Linked DNA regions of Oryzias latipes. Each later gene encodes a partner of the first gene's protein in a complex. Links are inferred from orthologs where the notes say so. Each region holds a gene or a part of one and is shown on either strand. Other genes may lie near its edges.

Evidence for each region.
Region 2: polr1b (region 1) and twistnb share a complex: the UniProt entries of both Homo sapiens proteins name them as parts of the RNA polymerase I (Pol I) complex. The link is inferred for Oryzias latipes from reciprocal best matches to the Homo sapiens genes POLR1B and POLR1F.
Region 3: the proteins of polr1b (region 1) and polr1e are in contact, whole or in part, in a cryo-EM structure (PDB 8A43), measured with the Homo sapiens proteins. The link is inferred for Oryzias latipes from reciprocal best matches to the Homo sapiens genes POLR1B and POLR1E. Residues at the interface, in NP_061887.2 of Homo sapiens: Lys254, Ser258, Phe259, Ser260, Tyr262, Gln263, Gln266, Ser295, Thr296, Gln297, Ser338, Thr340, Glu341, Ala532, Cys535, Pro541, Ile542, Asp543, Gly544; in NP_071935.1 of Homo sapiens: Gln27, Ser29, Asn30, Gly31, Tyr69, Thr76, Leu79, Lys80, Cys81, Leu84, Cys85, Met109, Gln110, Pro111, Leu112, Phe113.

The regions. Positions count from the first base shown.
Region 1 is NC_019873.2:3,643,467-3,647,920, reverse strand, and holds the end of polr1b (DNA-directed RNA polymerase I subunit RPA2), read left to right. Parts: coding exon 1-68; intron 69-161; coding exon 162-358; intron 359-840; coding exon 841-1,091; intron 1,092-1,165; coding exon 1,166-2,048; 3' UTR 2,049-2,615; downstream 2,616-4,454. UniProt on the Homo sapiens protein: Catalytic core component of RNA polymerase I (Pol I), a DNA-dependent RNA polymerase which synthesizes ribosomal RNA precursors using the four ribonucleoside triphosphates as substrates.
Region 2 is NC_019869.2:9,792,625-9,798,771, forward strand, and holds the start of twistnb (DNA-directed RNA polymerase I subunit RPA43), read left to right. Parts: upstream 1-2,458; 5' UTR 2,459-2,499; coding exon 2,500-2,795; intron 2,796-5,372; coding exon 5,373-5,514; intron 5,515-5,628; coding exon 5,629-5,837; intron 5,838-6,147. UniProt on the Homo sapiens protein: Component of RNA polymerase I (Pol I), a DNA-dependent RNA polymerase which synthesizes ribosomal RNA precursors using the four ribonucleoside triphosphates as substrates.
Region 3 is NC_019859.2:12,630,296-12,636,642, reverse strand, and holds polr1e (DNA-directed RNA polymerase I subunit RPA49), read left to right. Parts: upstream 1-2,658; 5' UTR 2,659-2,673; coding exon 2,674-2,703; intron 2,704-2,913; coding exon 2,914-2,992; intron 2,993-3,193; coding exon 3,194-3,297; intron 3,298-3,580; coding exon 3,581-3,657; intron 3,658-3,748; coding exon 3,749-3,834; intron 3,835-3,916; coding exon 3,917-3,972; intron 3,973-4,046; coding exon 4,047-4,191; intron 4,192-4,314; coding exon 4,315-4,425; intron 4,426-4,540; coding exon 4,541-4,637; intron 4,638-4,720; coding exon 4,721-4,851; intron 4,852-4,985; coding exon 4,986-5,067; intron 5,068-5,150; coding exon 5,151-5,282; intron 5,283-5,774; coding exon 5,775-5,940; 3' UTR 5,941-6,030; downstream 6,031-6,347. Other genes in the region: zinc finger and BTB domain-containing protein 5-like, read right to left, coding at 1-39, 195-1,025, 1,095-1,304. UniProt on the Homo sapiens protein: Component of RNA polymerase I (Pol I), a DNA-dependent RNA polymerase which synthesizes ribosomal RNA precursors using the four ribonucleoside triphosphates as substrates.

The DNA.
Region 1 (4,454 bases):
GGTGGCAAACTTCATCCCTTTCTCAGACCACAACCAGAGTCCTAGAAACATGTACCAGTGTCAGATGGGTAAGTGGGTGGGATCAGAAATGTTCATTGAAGGCTAACACCAATTTGGAGTCCAAAGTCCTGAAATTGTTGACCCTAAACTGTTTGTTTCAGGTAAACAAACGATGGGCTTCCCTCTACACTCGTTTATGGATCGCTCGGACAATAAGCTGTACCGACTACAGACGCCACAGAGCGCCCTCGTCAGGCCCTACATGTACGATCACTACAATCTGGACAACTATCCAAGCGGCACAAACGCCATCGTCGCCGTCATATCCTACACCGGCTACGACATGGAAGATGCTATGGTGAATTCAACACAATAGTTTTTACATTTCTACAGATGGGATTTGATCATCTTTTGAGCTATTTTCAAAGCATTCCCAGTAGGGATGCTACTCCATTCTGATCATCCTCTTACAGATAGATCCATGAACGTCTTTATTTTCCTCGTCTGAGCTGGAATCTGGCTCTAAACTGTACGGCTGGATAGCTCTGATATTGGTCGACATTTTTGTTTCTCTGATAATGTTAGTTAGGGGTTGTGACGGGAATTGGTTTGCCTGAGATGGTGTAAACAAAGGCATGATGGGAAATGGAGGAAGGGTCACTCTATGCCAGCGGTCCCGCCCACAACTTCAGGGTGAATTTCTGATGAACTCCTGCTGGTCTTTGGTTTTTAGATTTAGGCTAAAAATGACTTCCTCCTAGTCTGAAGACCACCTGGAATGCTTTGAAAATAGATGTTCAGAGTGGGTCTCTACATTCTGACGTTCTTTGATCTTACTAGATTGTGAACAAGTCATCGTGGGAGAGAGGCTTTGCACATGGGAGCATCTACAAGACAGAATTGGTGGACCTTGCAGACAAAGTGAGGGGGGAAGATGCTGTGGTGTTTGGGACCAAGCCAGGGGACCCCAAAGTAAACGACAAGCTCGATGCTGATGGGCTCCCTCGTGTCGGATCGGTGCTTCAGTATGGTGACCCCTTTTACAGCTACATCAACCTCAACACGGGACAAAGCTGCGTCCACTTTTACAAGTAAGCGGCAAAAATCTCTGCTCCCTTCATGTTTTGTCTCAGTGGAAGTGAAAGCCATTCTGTGTGGTTTGTAGAAGCCAGGAGGCCTGTGTGGTGGACAACATCAAGATATGCAGCAACGACAGCGGCTCAGGCCAGTTCAAACGCATCTGCATTACCACCCGAGTGCCACGAAACCCCACAATTGGTGACAAGTTTGCCAGCCGCCACGGGCAGAAGGGCATCCTGAGCCGCTTGTGGCCCGCTGAGGACATGCCCTTCACGGAGAGCGGCATGACCCCCGACATCTTGTTCAACCCCCACGGCTTCCCGTCTCGAATGACCATCGGGATGCTGATCGAGAGCATGGCGGGCAAGTCTGCCGCCCTTCATGGTCGGAGCCACGACGCCACACCCTTCACCTTCTCTGAGGAGAACTCTGCGCTGGATCACTTTGGGGAATTGCTCCGGGCGGGGGGGTACAACTACTACGGGACAGAGCGGCTCTACAGTGGAGTGAGCGGTCGGGAGCTGGAGGCAGACATCTTCATCGGTGTGGTCTACTACCAGCGGCTGCGTCACATGGTCTCTGACAAATTTCAAGTCAGGACCACCGGAGCGCGGGACAAGGTCACCAACCAGCCCGTTGGAGGAAGGAACATTCAGGGAGGCATCCGCTTTGGAGAGATGGAGCGTGACGCCCTGCTGGCCCATGGCTCCTCCTTCCTCCTTCACGATCGTCTTTTCAACTGCTCCGACCGCTCAGAGGCTCAGATGTGCGTGGACTGCGGCAGCCTCCTGTCCCCGCTGCTGGAGAAGCCTCCGCCCTGCTGGTCAGCCATGCGCCACCGAAAGACCCTCTGCACGCTTTGTGGCAAAAGTGACTCCATCAACGCCGTGTCTGTTCCTTACGTCTTCCGCTACTTTGTAGCTGAACTGGCAGCGATGAACATCAAAGTAAAACTTGAGGTTAAGTGACGTGCTGCAGGATACATACGTGCCTTAAAGCCTTAGCTGTGGTTTTGAAACATTTCAGTCAAATTCTACTGAATCAGTTCTGTAAAACCATGCTGTTATCAGAACTTTGCTTGATGCAGTTCAGAGTTCAAATCCCGTAAATTCATAAGTGTTCATTGTGACGGGGTGTCAGTTCTGATGACCGCCATCAGGTTCTTCCCAATAAAGCCAAGAGGACCTGGTTGTGGACAACATGGCGGCAAGACATCACTAGCCAGAACCGGAAGTCCGGAACCGGAAGTTTACGTCCCCTCAAAACAGGAACGATCCAAAGTGGCTTTTCCCCGATATGTGTAGAATTCTTACATATCAGAGCAAAGCAGAATACGCAGATTCACGTTGATCGAAGGGTAGAAATGTAAACGCTGGAGCTTGTAGCAGTTTTACAAATCTCACTTTGTTTATATCCTTTTTTTAAATGATTATCCTTTTAGAGCCGTTTAGGCTCATGTTGGAACTGAACCATTAATTCACATGAAAAGGTTTTAATAAAAGGTGCCACACAGTGACATCCCATTGGAAGAAGAATGTTCCCAAGAGTCTGTATTCCCCACAGGATAGTGAGAGAACAGAGGAACGTCTCTATTCCTGCTCTTAACACTGGATGACCACAAGGAAAGATCTGGAAAAAGGAATTTGTCAAAAGCGTGTCAATCGTCTGGAATCTATTTGTAACAGAAGTCTTTGTTAAGCGAGGGCAGACACCCCAGTGCGGTTCCAGCTGTCGTTCCCTTACAGCCACCTGGATCAGGTGTGTTCAGCCTTTGAGGACATCCCGGGTCAATGTTGCCTCCATCTTTACCCCTGCTAGAAAAAGGATGTTTTCAACAGCACCTTATGATAACTTCTTTATTCAGTTTGTTATGAATCAGGAGCAGATGACAAAATGCCATTTGAAAACTCTTCTAGCTGTAATGTAAAACCTGCAATTGGCAGGTCACAGTCTTCCTGCTCTGCTCCATTCTGATCATTATCCATGAACGTCTTTGTTTTCTTGGTCTGAGCTAGAATCTGGATTAGAACTGGACAGGTGGACAGATCTGATATTGATGGACATTTTTGTTGCACTGCTAATGTTAGCTTGGTGTGAGGGGCTGTAAGCTAGTGGGAAGGTGTAAACAAAGGGTTGATGGGAAATTAGGCAGGCTCACTCCATGCCAACAATCCCGCCCACAATTGAGAGTTGAATTCTTATTGAACTCCTGCCGTTTTTCTTTTGTCCATACAATTTTCTAGATTGAGCTGCTTCTATTCAACTCTTACAATTATCAAAATTTTCAGCTTTTTTTTAGAAGAATCGTAATCTGATTCTTCAACCAAATAGCTTTTTCTTTTACTTAACTTTAATTTCATGTCACTCTTCAAATCCTCCTAAAACACCTCAATGTCAAATCTTGAGAAGACATTTAGCCAGAAAGACTGTAGTAACTTAGTAGCACTCAGGCTCTCCAATTAGCGTTTAAAAAAAAACCCCACTATGGTCTGAGGGTGTTTTTTTTTTTAGATGTTTGGTTCGCGTAACCCTTGTGCTATCCTAGGCACTTCAACATTGGGAGTTGGGTCATCTAGACCCACTAGACAGTGCTCTGAACCTTTTTTCTTCAATGAATTGTGATCTTCACTGGTGTCCATGGATGACATGAAATCTTTCCACCTTTATCCACCTTTGTCATGGTAGGGAGAACACGTCAATGTAAGGGTGGGGTCATCTAAGATAGCACAAGGGTTAAAGTAAAGCAGAGTTTGTTTTCCACCATGGTCCAAAAGAAATTTTCAGTCTGAATACACCAAAGTAGACCCTGGTCCGGGACCAGAAACCACTCTCGGACCCGTCTTTGGAGGGGGTCTCGGTTTGTTTCCAAATTGACTGAGATTCGGTTTGATTCCTCAGTTTGAGTATGATCCGTCCTGGGAGCAGAACAACTGAACCAAAATGGCCACCGTAGTCGGCGTAAACAGAGTACGAACATACAGCACAGACCAAAAGTTTGGACACACCTTCGCATTCAAATGAATGGGAAGCTGTGTCCAAACCTTTGGTCTGTACTGTAGGAACAGATGAGCCGCAGACAAATACAAGCAACGATTGTCGTGGTCAAAGAGAAATAAAAGGTCCAGCTCTTTATTTCTTAGAATAGTTGGAAAATGAACAAAAAATGAGATCAACTAGTGTTTGTCTTTTATGACCAGATCAAAATATATGAATCCACAATAGATAAAAGGTCAGAACCATTTGAAGAATGTCTAAAAACCACTCAAACTCCATTGAACTGTATGCAAACTTGTTTAAAACCAAACATTTGTAAACTGAAAACTTCTCCTTAAATTATGAATAAAACAATGGGGGGGGGGGGGGGGGGGGGTCAT
Region 2 (6,147 bases), on another chromosome or scaffold:
AGTGTAAGTCCCCCAGCATTTAAAGCTGTGGGGTCTATTTCTGACTAAGAACCCGCGTCTCTATTTATCACCTTGACAGCACACAGAAGTGGGGCCATGCCCCACCCAAAAACAAAATCAAAACACCACATCTGCAGGGAGAAATGCTGAATCATGTGACCTCCTGTGACACAACACCTAGAACAGGGGCCTAAAACTAGGAAAAAAAATAATAATATTGATAGAATTACTTCAAATTGAACATTATACAGCCCAATATTAAGTAATTTTTTGCTAGTTCAAAGCAAATGGTTTGAATTTTTTGAGTTTTTCTGTACCTAATTGTAGTTCATCTTAACTTACAGTGGTAAAAAAAAACTGGTTCATTTAGTGGAAACGACTCATTTTAGAGCAAATGGGGGGAAAAAATGAGAACAAGATTTTAGTAAAAGTTGGCCCATCTTAATACATCAAATGTAAAATAAGCAATTAATCTTAGAACATAAATCTAAATTTTAAAATCTAAATAAAATGCATTCGAATGTCAATCTGAGTTTCTTTTGTCTTAAAGCAAGTTTTTCTGCTGTCGAGCGTATGGAGCAAAAGGATTTTGACTCGCTTTCATAATACCTTCCTCATTTCTAAATCTTATCTCCTAATGAGACAAACATTTTCCTCTGTACTGATTTTAAGATTAACCTAGAAGGGTGAAGAGCAAAGAGAAGTTAAAATAATTAAAACCTGATAAAATAGCTTGACTGTCTAAAAACTAAGTTTTAAATCTCTGCAAGGATCAAATAATTTGGAGTGTACTCTTTGAGAAAACACTGCAACTAATATCCTTCTCAAAGCAGGTTAAATAAAATAGAATACAAGATGTTTTTTTGTTTTTTTATAAGTGAAATCTGTCAATAGAAACTGGTAGAATTTGTCTTGGAAAGATTTCTTAAAATAAGGCATGTTGTCCTGAATTAGTTATATTGCTTTGATAACTGGAAATATTGTGTCTTTAAAAAAGCGTGTGTTGCTTTTAAAACCCTTTCACTTCTGTAAAGTAGGTACATTGATGGGTAAACCTACAGGACATGCTACTTCTCCCCCTAAAAAATCCTACTTTAAGAGCTGTAGACTAGAATCAAACATTCTAAGATAAAGTTGTCAAGATTAAAAGAACATTATGAGTCAAAAAATAGTTTTTTTAGCGATATTACTTAAAACAAAACATTTTCTACAAAATGTTCAGGATATGTTGTCTTAAAACCAGTCATTTTACCACACGGAAAAGTTACTTGTGAAGTAGTTTTGTCTCATGTCAAGTACAAAAATATATTTTTGTACTAGTTTTTGTTTTTGCAGTGTAGATTTGCTTCTGTCTTTATGTTTCTGAAAGTACCGCATGTTTAATATAAGACAGAGTGTTCATCAGCTGCTCAAATTCACACTTTAGGTCACCCTAATGATCTTAATGTGACACTTCCACTGAGAAGAGGATCCAGAATCAATGAGAACCTTTACCAGGCTTCCATTGCATAACATTCCACAGATTACATAACAAAGGACAGAACACTATGGGAGGGCATGACCATTGGAGTCTTCCTATAGAAATAAATAACACAATATTCTCCTATATTTATACAACTGTCTTGTCATTGCCACTATTGCAGGAAGAGAAGACATCAAGATTAAGAGGGTGAAGCCCCAGAACTACAGTACAAAGTATTAGATCTGCCGAGAAGCGGCAGATCTGCAGTCTCTGCTGTCTCTGGAGTGACCAGAGACAGCAGAGGCCTTTTACTTTGAAAATGTTAAAACAGGTTAAAACAGGTCTAATCTAAAAGAAATGGTTTCATAAAACAATATATTTGAAAACAACACATCTAGAATAAAAATAAAGAGAGAAAAATGTGAATGGTTAGTATTTTGCCCAGTGCTCTCCACTCATCCCAGCTGACAGTCCTTAAATGGCCATGCAGTCCTGCACTCAGGACCACTATCCATGCAGAAAGGAAAGAGATCCATGAGCAGATTTAAAAGAACACACAATCATGCAAAATAAACAAATAGAAGTATTTTTTTATAAAGAAAAAAACACTGGTGTCTGGGCTACAGTGGTGCTAATAAAGATCTTTGGAAGCAACTTGCATGCTCGACCTCGGGAAGGGTGAAGCATGTTCATTCACTCTGTGTCTCCAAATGGCGGTGTACCTCCAGGTAATGCGCCTCCTCCCAGCACTCAGTTACCTGCCTCTAAACATCTTTCATTCTGTTTGGGAATAGTCCCACTTTGGCTTTGATGATTCCAGTCCACATTAATGAAACAAGAATGAAACATTTATTTATAAAAATAAAAAATAAAAATAAAAGACTACGTTTCTGCTCATGCTTCATATTTCATGCTGTAGTTTCACCGCCTCACCAGCAGAGGGCAACATACGCATAAATGTTAAACTTCGGTTGGTGGCAGGTCGATCCTCTTTCCGGAAACTACGACTTGTTTGTTTTCCGGTCTTCTCACGCAGCATGGAGAACCTGATCCACGCCGAACCAAAACACGTGAAAATGTCGGCTGAACCTCTTGCCGTCTCTGGCTCGATTCCGGTGGATCCAGCGTCCGCAGCTGCAGAAAAAGCTGCGGGCGGTGCTCCGTGTTTGGTCCCGTCTTACTCCGCCGCCGTGGAGCTGCTGTCAGCGCCGTACTCCTGCCTGGTGATGAACCCCCGCAGGAGGCACGTCGTCCTCCCGCCGGTCTACCTCCACAAGAAGAGAAGCGGAATCCAGGAGGAGCTGGAAGCGGAGCTCCTGAAGTTCTCCCAGAGGTACCCCGACATCCTTTAGTGGAGTCTGTGAAGATGAAGCGCGTTAAAAAAAAAGAGACTTTATCCATCCATCCAAATGAACTACAACACAATAAATATCTGTCTGTGTCCGGATCAATTTTAAGATGATTCATTAAGACGCACTCCAATGAAAATTCTTTTTCAAACATGTTCTTGTCACATTTTTCTCACGTTGGAGGACATATCTTAAGGAAAATTGGTATTAAAACGGCTTTTTTAAGTATTTTTTAATCTAATTGTTGTGAATCATCAGGAGCAGACGAAAAAACATGATGCTGAAGTTGGCTTCCGATTCGCGAGGGCACTAAAGAAACATTCAATGCATTTCTCGGGCTAAGATCACCTAAAACCGGTCCCTGTTAAAACACCGCTGGACCTGGACCCCTCAAACCTGGATTAAATTATACATTAGATAGTTAAGAATGCATTAAACGCAGGTTCTGATTTATTAAACCTTCTTCCGATTTGTAAAAATGTGAAAGAATGATTTGTATCGCATTTTACGCACAGAGTCCACCTCAGACCAGGTCCTGTTCAGAAACCGCTGTGTGAAAAGTGCAGTGGAATGTTTCTTTAGTGCTCCCGCGAATCAGAAGCTGTGAATCAGAAGCCAACTTCAGCATTGTCGAAAAAATGCTGTTGAAAAAAGCTTGTTATTTTTATTATCATTTTGGCTGAAAAGGACATTTACATTTCATGTATTCATTCCTAGAGTACCTTCCACCCCCAGCCTCGTAGACCCAAAGTGCTGTACACAGGGAAGGTAGAATACATCATATAAGTATAAAAACAGAGATTGAAACCAACATAACAAAAAGGCAGCTAGGCAGAGACAGCGGCGTGATGGTGGAGGAACAGTTTGGCTTTAAAGCTCTCCAAGAGTGTAACCTCTCTGTTAGCCGGTGGATGTTGAGTCAACGCACAATCCCTTTAGAACTTACATGTGGTTCTCACAATAGTAACACACACTGGTCAGCAGAGCACAAGAACTCGAGGGGAGAATATTTTAAAAGCAGACTAGGTAAGAAGATGCCGTACCTGCTAATGACAAAAACAAAAACAGGAATTTTCTTTTTCTTTTTAAAAAAAAAAACGATTGCATGGGCAGTCAGTTTAAGGAGACCAGGATTGGGGTAATGCGCTCAGATTTCTTTGTACCACGAATAAATCTGCCGGCTGCATTTTGAACTAGCTGCAGCCTCGCTATTGCGGGACACCGCATATAAGGAGCTGCAATAATTTAGCCTTGACTACACAGAAGATGCTACACAATTACAAAATCTAATTTGGATAAAAAAACCATAATCCTCGCCAAACGCTGCAGCTGAAAAAAGCAGGACCTGGTTACAGCCTTTATTTGGAGGTCCACTTTCAAGGTAGCATCGAGTTTCACGCCTAGGTTATAGACCACAGACTGTTGAAACGGGGCGAGCGAGAGGAGATGAAGACCGCGATCCTTTCGACCACGACGGGAAAACATAATTACTGCAGTTTTTGTTTCATTAAGCCCAAAGAAGTTAGCCGACATCCACTTGGCCGTCCAGTTGTTGCCTGAACAGTCGGGACATTTGCGCATAGCAACAAAGATTTGGCAGTCGTCTGCATAAAGATGGAAATCCACTTTATGCTTACTAACCAGCAGTAGTCACGTGAACATAGGTACCGTCTTACTCCGCCGCCGTGGAGCTGCTGTCAGCGCCAACCTCACCCTCATCCGACTTTTATGGTGCAATTGATAAATTTAAAAAAAAGTGTTTTATTTTTAAATATGATTATAAATGGGAATCCACCATTTGAACAACTTTATTAGCAGCATCCTCGTAATATTAGACCGCTGGTTGTTGAATGTTATGTATTATTATTATTGTCTGTGGGAACAACTGTCACAATAAATCCTTTTTTTTCTGTTAAATGCTGCTGTTTTTTTATTTTGAAGTCAAAGGATCGTCTTCTGTTTCCTCACTGGCTCTTCTCTGCAAAAAGAAACTTTCCAAATGTGTTTGTTTTTTGCTAACTGTGCTAGCTTCGGGGCTGCAGTTTGCGCACGCTTTAAGAAAGTATCGATGGATTTTCAACACGCAACCAAGCGACTTGAAGAATGAGTTGGATGCGGTGAAGAATCCAGTAGATTTTTAAAATAAAACTTCACCCAGAACTAAATAAAACAGAAATAATGGAGGTCCTGTTTTTTTCTCTGCGGCCCGGTACCATTTGTCCAACAAACTGGTACCGGTCTACCGCCCAGGGGTTGGGGATGCCTTTAACATACCTTAAGTTTACCTTAAAGAATCCGGTATTTAAGAGATACCTGAGAGCCCTGAATGTTGTCCAGAGAACCTGGAGAGTGCCATCCTCCAAGAGCGTTGGGCACTGGGTTAAGATGGTGGAGTATGATCCCCTCTGGGTTCTTTGGGATGGACAGTTTTAGGTACTAGGACCACACAGAACATTTTGTCTAGGTATTTACCTTCTTGTTTAGTTTATTCCAGTCAGCTGATGTTTGTTCGTCTGGCTGTGACACAACTTTTCTCAGCTATGTGTACATGTGCCTTGCAGTCTGAACGGAGTACCCCTGGCTTATGACAACATCCGGATAGTGGGCAGACATGGAGACATCTACGATGACAGCGGCTACATTCACATGGACATAGAGGCCAATTTTGTTGTATTTCAACCCAAAAAAGGGCAGAAACTCCTGGTATGTTTTTGTTTTTCTTTGGTAAAAGCTATTATATTTGCAGAGGAGCTGAAGCTTTGTTTAGAGAATAATGCAGACATACTACAGCATGAACAGATGCTCTATTTCCCGCAGGGTAAAGTAAATAAACTAGGAGTGAGCCATGTTGGCTGTCTTGTGCACGGCTGTTTCAATGCCAGCATCCCAAAACCAAATCTCGTCTCTGTGGAAACCTGGAGGGATGCGGGGCCCAAGATCGGGTCGGAGCTGGAGTTTGAGGTGACAGCTCTGGATGCGGACGCTGCTGGGGTGCTTCTGATCAGAGGACGTCTGCTCAAGACCAGGTATCAAATGTGGACGTTTTTTCTAATGACATATTTAGGCTAGAGTCGCCTCGCTAGCTTGTTGCGTGCACAGAGTTGGACGCCATATTGGATGTGTAATGGTAGCTCACTGGTGTGCTACCATTACACTAACAGCTGGAAAAACAAGGATGTGACTTTAATGTGACATGATTACTGTCAGCTTATAAAGGAGAACTTGTAGAAAGCATTCTAGGAATATCTGAGTGAGTTTTCTCTGACTAGTGAACATTTAGGCTGATCTTGTAGTCTATCCAAACTCAATGGTAGCACTAGACTTGGCACTATTTCC
Region 3 (6,347 bases), on another chromosome or scaffold:
AGGCTCAGGTGAGCTGAGAACCTCTCGCTTGACCACCACCTGACAAAAAAAATTAAAAAATGTTTCCACTGTGATGAAAGTTGAGCTGTTTACCGAAGGAAAAAAACGAATATTATGTAGAAACATTAAAATCCCCCCCAAAAAGGAAAAACTGGAAACTAATAAGAAAAAAACTTTATGTGCATCCTTTTTACCTTCCGCTCTTCATCTTCCCCCTGCTCTTCCTCGTTCCCTGACTTTATTTTTACAGTGGCTCTGCTGGCCTGCTGATCCTGGTCACCCATGTCCTCTTCCTTGTTTACTCCTCCTGGAATCCTCACCGAGTTCTCCCCTTCAGAGCGTCCACTGTCTGACTGACTCGGCATCTGAGGGTCATCTTGAGCCACAGCTACAAACCCTGTGATGCCGGCGCCTAGCTTAGAATCATCCCCCGGTTTGTGGGAGTCCGGCGAATGAAGCGCTGCTTCATCCTGATCTGCATTTTCGCCGTCTTCCTCCAACAAACCTAGGTTGGCGCCCCCTGAGGTCCGCTGCCTTTGTCTGGGTCTCTCCTCTGAAATTGTCAGCGCTAGAGACGGCTTTCGTTTGTGGAATCGACGGACTGGGAATGAGGCCCGCTGGTCGACCGCTCTGTTGCTCACGCCGCCTTCCTCCATTCCTCCTAAAGCGGAGCTCACCAAGCTGAGCCCCAGCTGCTGCAGCAAGAAGGAGCGCTGCACCTTCGACGTGGCAGCGTTTCCTGTGAGGCTTGTGTTACCCGCTGAAGCTGGGTTCCCTCCCAAGTCCGCCTGCTGCTGCCTGTGCCTTTGCTGCTCCTGTTGAGAGTGGTGATGGGCCGGCCTCTCAGAGGAGGGCGACACAGGCAGTGTGCGTGTGGTTAGGTAGTGCTTGCAGGCTTTTACGACATTGTTGAGGTGCAAATGTGAGGCGGCGAGGAGGATATCCATGACGTTACTCTCCCCCAGCATCAGCGTCGACGTGTACATCATGTCCACCAGGGCAGCAAATGCCTCAGCCGTGACCACCTGCAAACAGGCAGTTTGTTATCATGATATTAACTCACAGCAGAGCCAGTGCTCGCTTCAGGTCCAAACCTCGCTGTCCAGCTGGATCATATTCATGCTAGCATCTCCCTCGGCGACGGTGAAGAGCGCTCTGAAGTGGGTGCTGCAGGCTGCAAGAACAGAGCGGTGGGCTTTGAAGTGTCGGCTGCCCACCACTATGATGCAGTCGCACAGCTGACCGTGCAGCCGCTGATAGTTCAGCTGCTGGAATATCTGCTCAAAGTGTCCCGGGAAGTCCATGGCTCTGCTGACAAATCAGTCCAAAGGAGGAGGAGAAGGAGACAAAAGTGAGAAGGACGTGGACATCAATGATTTCACAGGGGGCTGCCCAACAGATCTACCACCTTGACTGTTTCCCAGCTCTCCCTGCTCCCTGGATCATCAGGTGTGTTTAGCCACTCAGAATGTGAAGTTACTCAGAATGTGAAGTTAAGTTAATCAACAAGACAACAAGTCTTAGAAACATTCTGGCTTTTTGGGCTGACTTCAATATGTCATTATCAGTGCAAAACACACACATTTGACTTCCTTTTGACTATTTAACATAGACATAACTAAGGAAAGAATTTGAAGGTCAGTAGATTGGGGGTTTAAATCCAAGACTACACAGTCAAAAGTGTCCTTGGGCGAAACACTTAACCTCACGTTGCCTTGGATTGTAATAAACTAGTGAGTCACTTTGGTTAAAAGCGTTTCCAAAGACTCAACATATAACACACACAAAAGAAGGAAATTTAAGTAAGCTAGCTAATTTTTTTTTCAGAATAATTGATTTAATTTTATAGAATTCTGTGGCCTAAAATAGAATTCAATATCTTACTATGCGATAACCGTGTTGTAACATTTATTACATTCAAAAACTTTGGGTAATTAGTCGTTTTAAATTCCCCAAACTTTATATTTTTTTATCGCAACTTGATGATAGAGAATTCGGTTACTGCAAAACAGACCTTAAAGAATAGCTTGCAAGTTTAAACTGGACAATCATGTGGGTTATAAACAATAAATAACATATACTAGATTTTAAAAATGTCAAATAGCACAAATTACCTTTAAGTCTTCCAAAAAGTGTGTCCCCGAAGGAAAAAAATTGAGAAAATATTCAGGGAAAAAAAGTGAAGAGGCTAGTAGTGAGTCTCGTTAGCAGCCGCGCGGCTAGCCAACTCCTTCTAGCTATATAGCAGCACCAGCGGGTGCATTAGGTCTCCCCAAAAGATCGTCTCCGCCGACACCCTTTCCCCCACAAAATGTCCCCTCAAGTGCAGCTACCTATGGCTAACCCTTCCATTGCGGTGTTCATAACATCTCCTCTAAGCCACTTCCTCGTAGTTCTCCAATACAGTCTGAACGGCGTAGTAGTTCAACTGTCGAGAAGAAGGGAGTTGCGATGGTCGTTAGCTTTAGGATGACCGATGAGCAGGATACAACTTCAGAACAATATCATAATACCGATGATCTGGTGTGTTTCCGGCGCTTACCAAGCAGCACGTTTTGCTTAATCTATACGAACATTTATTCAGACGGCTTTTTTTCCCCATCCAGACTCACAGGGTGGCGCTGCTGCACCTTGATTGAAATGACCTCGTTGAGGTAAAGCGCAGCAGTTTGAATGATTCACCACAGGGTGTCGCTGTCGTTCGTAAGTGTCTAGGATGAAAACTATTGAGCGAAATGGTTTTAAATATCTACTTTATTAAGACAGGTGTTGTGAATAATATTTACGTGTATTTAGAAAAAAAATGTTTTTAGACAGCTTTAAGAAAAGACAAAAATTCGTCATTGACCAAATTCACTGAGCGTTACGTTTTACGTAAATACAGATGAGTGAGTCCTCTCGCTCCTTTCACAGATCACAACAACAATCATGGCCGCCTCGTGCAGGATGGTGTGCTGCGAGGAGGAAAGGGAGTCTGACAAAGCGATCATAGGTAATTATTCTCATCTCAGCCTTTTTGAAACAATAATCTCTAAAGCAGGCGAGCATACAGTCAGTATTTGAGTTATCTGTGTTGCATTCAAGTGTATAAAACTATTCCATTTTTCAGGAGTAATCAGAACACGTGAAAGTTACAAGGCAATATTCTCACACATAATCAACATTAACACGCCATTCTCTGTATTTTTTGCAGTCCGATTTTCGAATGGTTTCACCAGCAATGCAGAGGAACTGGATTTTGCCACATTCAAGAACATAGAAGAAAATAATCCGAGGAAAAAGATAAGGCGGATCGTGGTGAGAAATTGCGCATGCGTGCTCGCACACACCATAGTTTGCATGGAATTGATATATTTCAAGCAATCAATATAACATCACACTGAAGAAGAAATACAAATCCACTCATATGTTTATCAAACTTAAGATGGTTTGTCATTTTTTGATTGTAAAATAAAAAATGTTATAAGAGATGCATATCCATATATTTACAACCACACACACGTACATTATACCATAATAATTAAACAAAAATGACAGATTCGCATTCATTAAATATGTAACAGTTGTCTGTTCCATTTAGGTTGCTGAATCAGACAGGTTGTCTTATGTCGGGCAGAATTTTGGAGAAGATTTAATGAAATGCAATAATCTTTGCAGGTTTGTTATCATTACATTTTATATACATTAACATTTGATATAGACCTTTCGTATCCTTATCGAATGAGTTTTGTGATGCAATTATTTTCAGATATTATGTTGGAGTTTTGAATAAAGAAACCATGCAGATGGAGATACACAGCGCTCAGCTATTCAACATGCAACCTGTCATACCAGGTAAAAGAAATGCAATCCCCAAAACAATAACAAGCGATTTTTAAAGGAGGGCAATTTAGTAATGCCAGTTAATTTCCACCAGGAGAGGCAACACATGATGCAAAGCCTCAGGACACCACTCTGTCCTACAGGGAAAAGGTATGAGAAAAACAAGCTTTCTTTTGAAACAAACAAGCACACAGTGAAGTCATGTTTTTTTTTTCTTTCTCAAGGTTGACTCCTTGATTGAGGCCTTTGGCACGAATAAACAGAAACGAGCTCTGAGCTCTCGCAGGCTCAACCAGGTGGGCAGTGATGCTCTGCATCATGCAGTGGCTGAAGCTGCCAGCACTGTGATTGATAACAAGGGTCTGGAAGGTAAGCGTGAAGCTTTCAGCCTTTTGGAGTAATCTAGACAAGAAAATATAACTCAAATTCATACTGGACTTGCCATCATTTTTTTTTTACTACATGTTTTTTTCCCCCTTTTTTTCTTGTTAGCTCTGCAACAGGAAGTAGCTGAAACAGAGTCTCAAGGAGCCCTGTCGTTACACCTACCTCCCTGCAATGCAGATGCAGACAAAAAAGAAGATGTCTACCCCTTTGAAGAGCGTATCTTTTTAACATTACCCCCCCACCCCCAATTTGAACAGATATTGGAAATTACATGCATATGTAGTTCGAGCAAAAGCAGCACTTTTCTCCATCCTTAATTTGACTTCAACAGTACTGAGTCCAGTAGAATTTGCTGCTTTGGAGCCGAACGGTCAAAAGATGACGGCACTAAGCCAAGAGGAGCTGCAGAAGTTGAAAGACCAAAGAGGGTATGGTAGCAGAGAGCATTTTTGTCTTATTAGCCTTATTTACTTATTATTGAATTGAAATATTTCTCTATTTCTTACCAAAGGAATCTGTGTGTGATGAAGCACCTGGAGAACATGCCATCCGCAAGTGAACCTAGAGAGAAAACTGCTCGCTGCGCTTTTTACCTGTCTCTCCTCATCAAACTTGCCCATCAGAAGATTGTCACTCGCAAATGTGAGCAGAATTTTGGAATCTCAGTTATTGAAGTAGTAGATTCTAAATATCGCTGATCAACACGTTAAAATGCCCTGCCCCTAAAGTTTTGTAATGTATGATGCTTTTTCTATTCCACCCGTTTTTGTTTGCAGTTTGGACTGAGGAAGGTTGTCCTCGTGTCATTCAAAGTAAAATTCTCCGAACATTTACAGTGGAGACATACAATAATGGCAGGTGTGTATGCGACAGTACCCCCTCTTTTGTTAAGGTTTAAAAAAAAAAAAAGCTGACAAATGTGTTTTGTGTTCTCCTTTTAGGGTCCAGAACATTGTGTCGACATCAATGCGGGCCAAAATAGCAGCTCACAGTCTGGCTCTGTTGCTGCATTTGGGTGACATGACTGTTAACCTCTCACTGCTTCACCGTGACCTGGAAATCAATGAGGCCAGGTACAAAAACCCCAAATTCTCTCCCTTTAAAACATCTTAGTTATTTTACCAACTGATTTTCCAACCCGAACATAAGACGACTCTCTCTGAGGCACCACCTTTCTCTCTGTGTGGGTTTCGCACATTTTATGACAACCTAGGGTCGGACTTGGCAGCATGTCCCAACATTTGCAAAGATGGATATGCATATTCTGTACATAAAATGAAAGCGCTTTGCTGTTTACCACTAGCTCCGCTGAGAAAGTGGGTGTGTCTGTAAGCCTGGGGGCGGTGCTGGCAGCACAGACTGTTCCTGGAAGGGGCTGTTCCTCACTTCTTGATGTCACTCGCTGTTTTTTTGGATTTGGAGGAGCCGGTCCTTAGAGTGCAGTTTTTTTTTTTTTTTTTTAGAAGATTAGGGCTAAAAACACCAAAAACATTTTATTGGAGTGGGTCTTTAACAAGGTAATATTGTTGTTCTGCCACTAAAGAATGATTCTTGTTTCCCTACAGGATGCTGGAGATTGCAAAGTCGATGGGTTTAACCATAAGCAAGCCAGCCCGCGGTAAAGGAGATGAAGCACAGCTACAGGACGAACACAGATACGCCTCACTTGTTCTGCCTCTGATCAAATACGATAAGTTTGTCGAGAGACGGAAGCGCAAGAAAATGCACTGAAATTCAAAGTAGGATGTGTGGAGAGAAAAAAGACACAAAACTCTCTGTATTTGTTTACAAAATACTTTAATAAATCAAATCATTTGAGTTGTACATGAAATTATTTGACTCGTACATTTGAAGATAGAAAAAAAGCAACCAAGTTGTAAACGTCTAGATGACAGAACCACCACCTTACATGTAGGCACATTTTTTTTTTTTTAATTGTAGACAGAACATATTGCACACTGAACATTTTTGTCCTTCTTTGTCTGGTTGTTACCAAGCAAGCCTGTGGTTGTCATTGTGCAACACAAAAGTGTCTTGAATGACTTGACAACTTCCCACTGAAACGTAATGTCACAGAAGTCAGTAAGTGAACCACAGACTCAGCAGGAAACAGCAGCTCTGTGCAAGAGGCAGAAGCT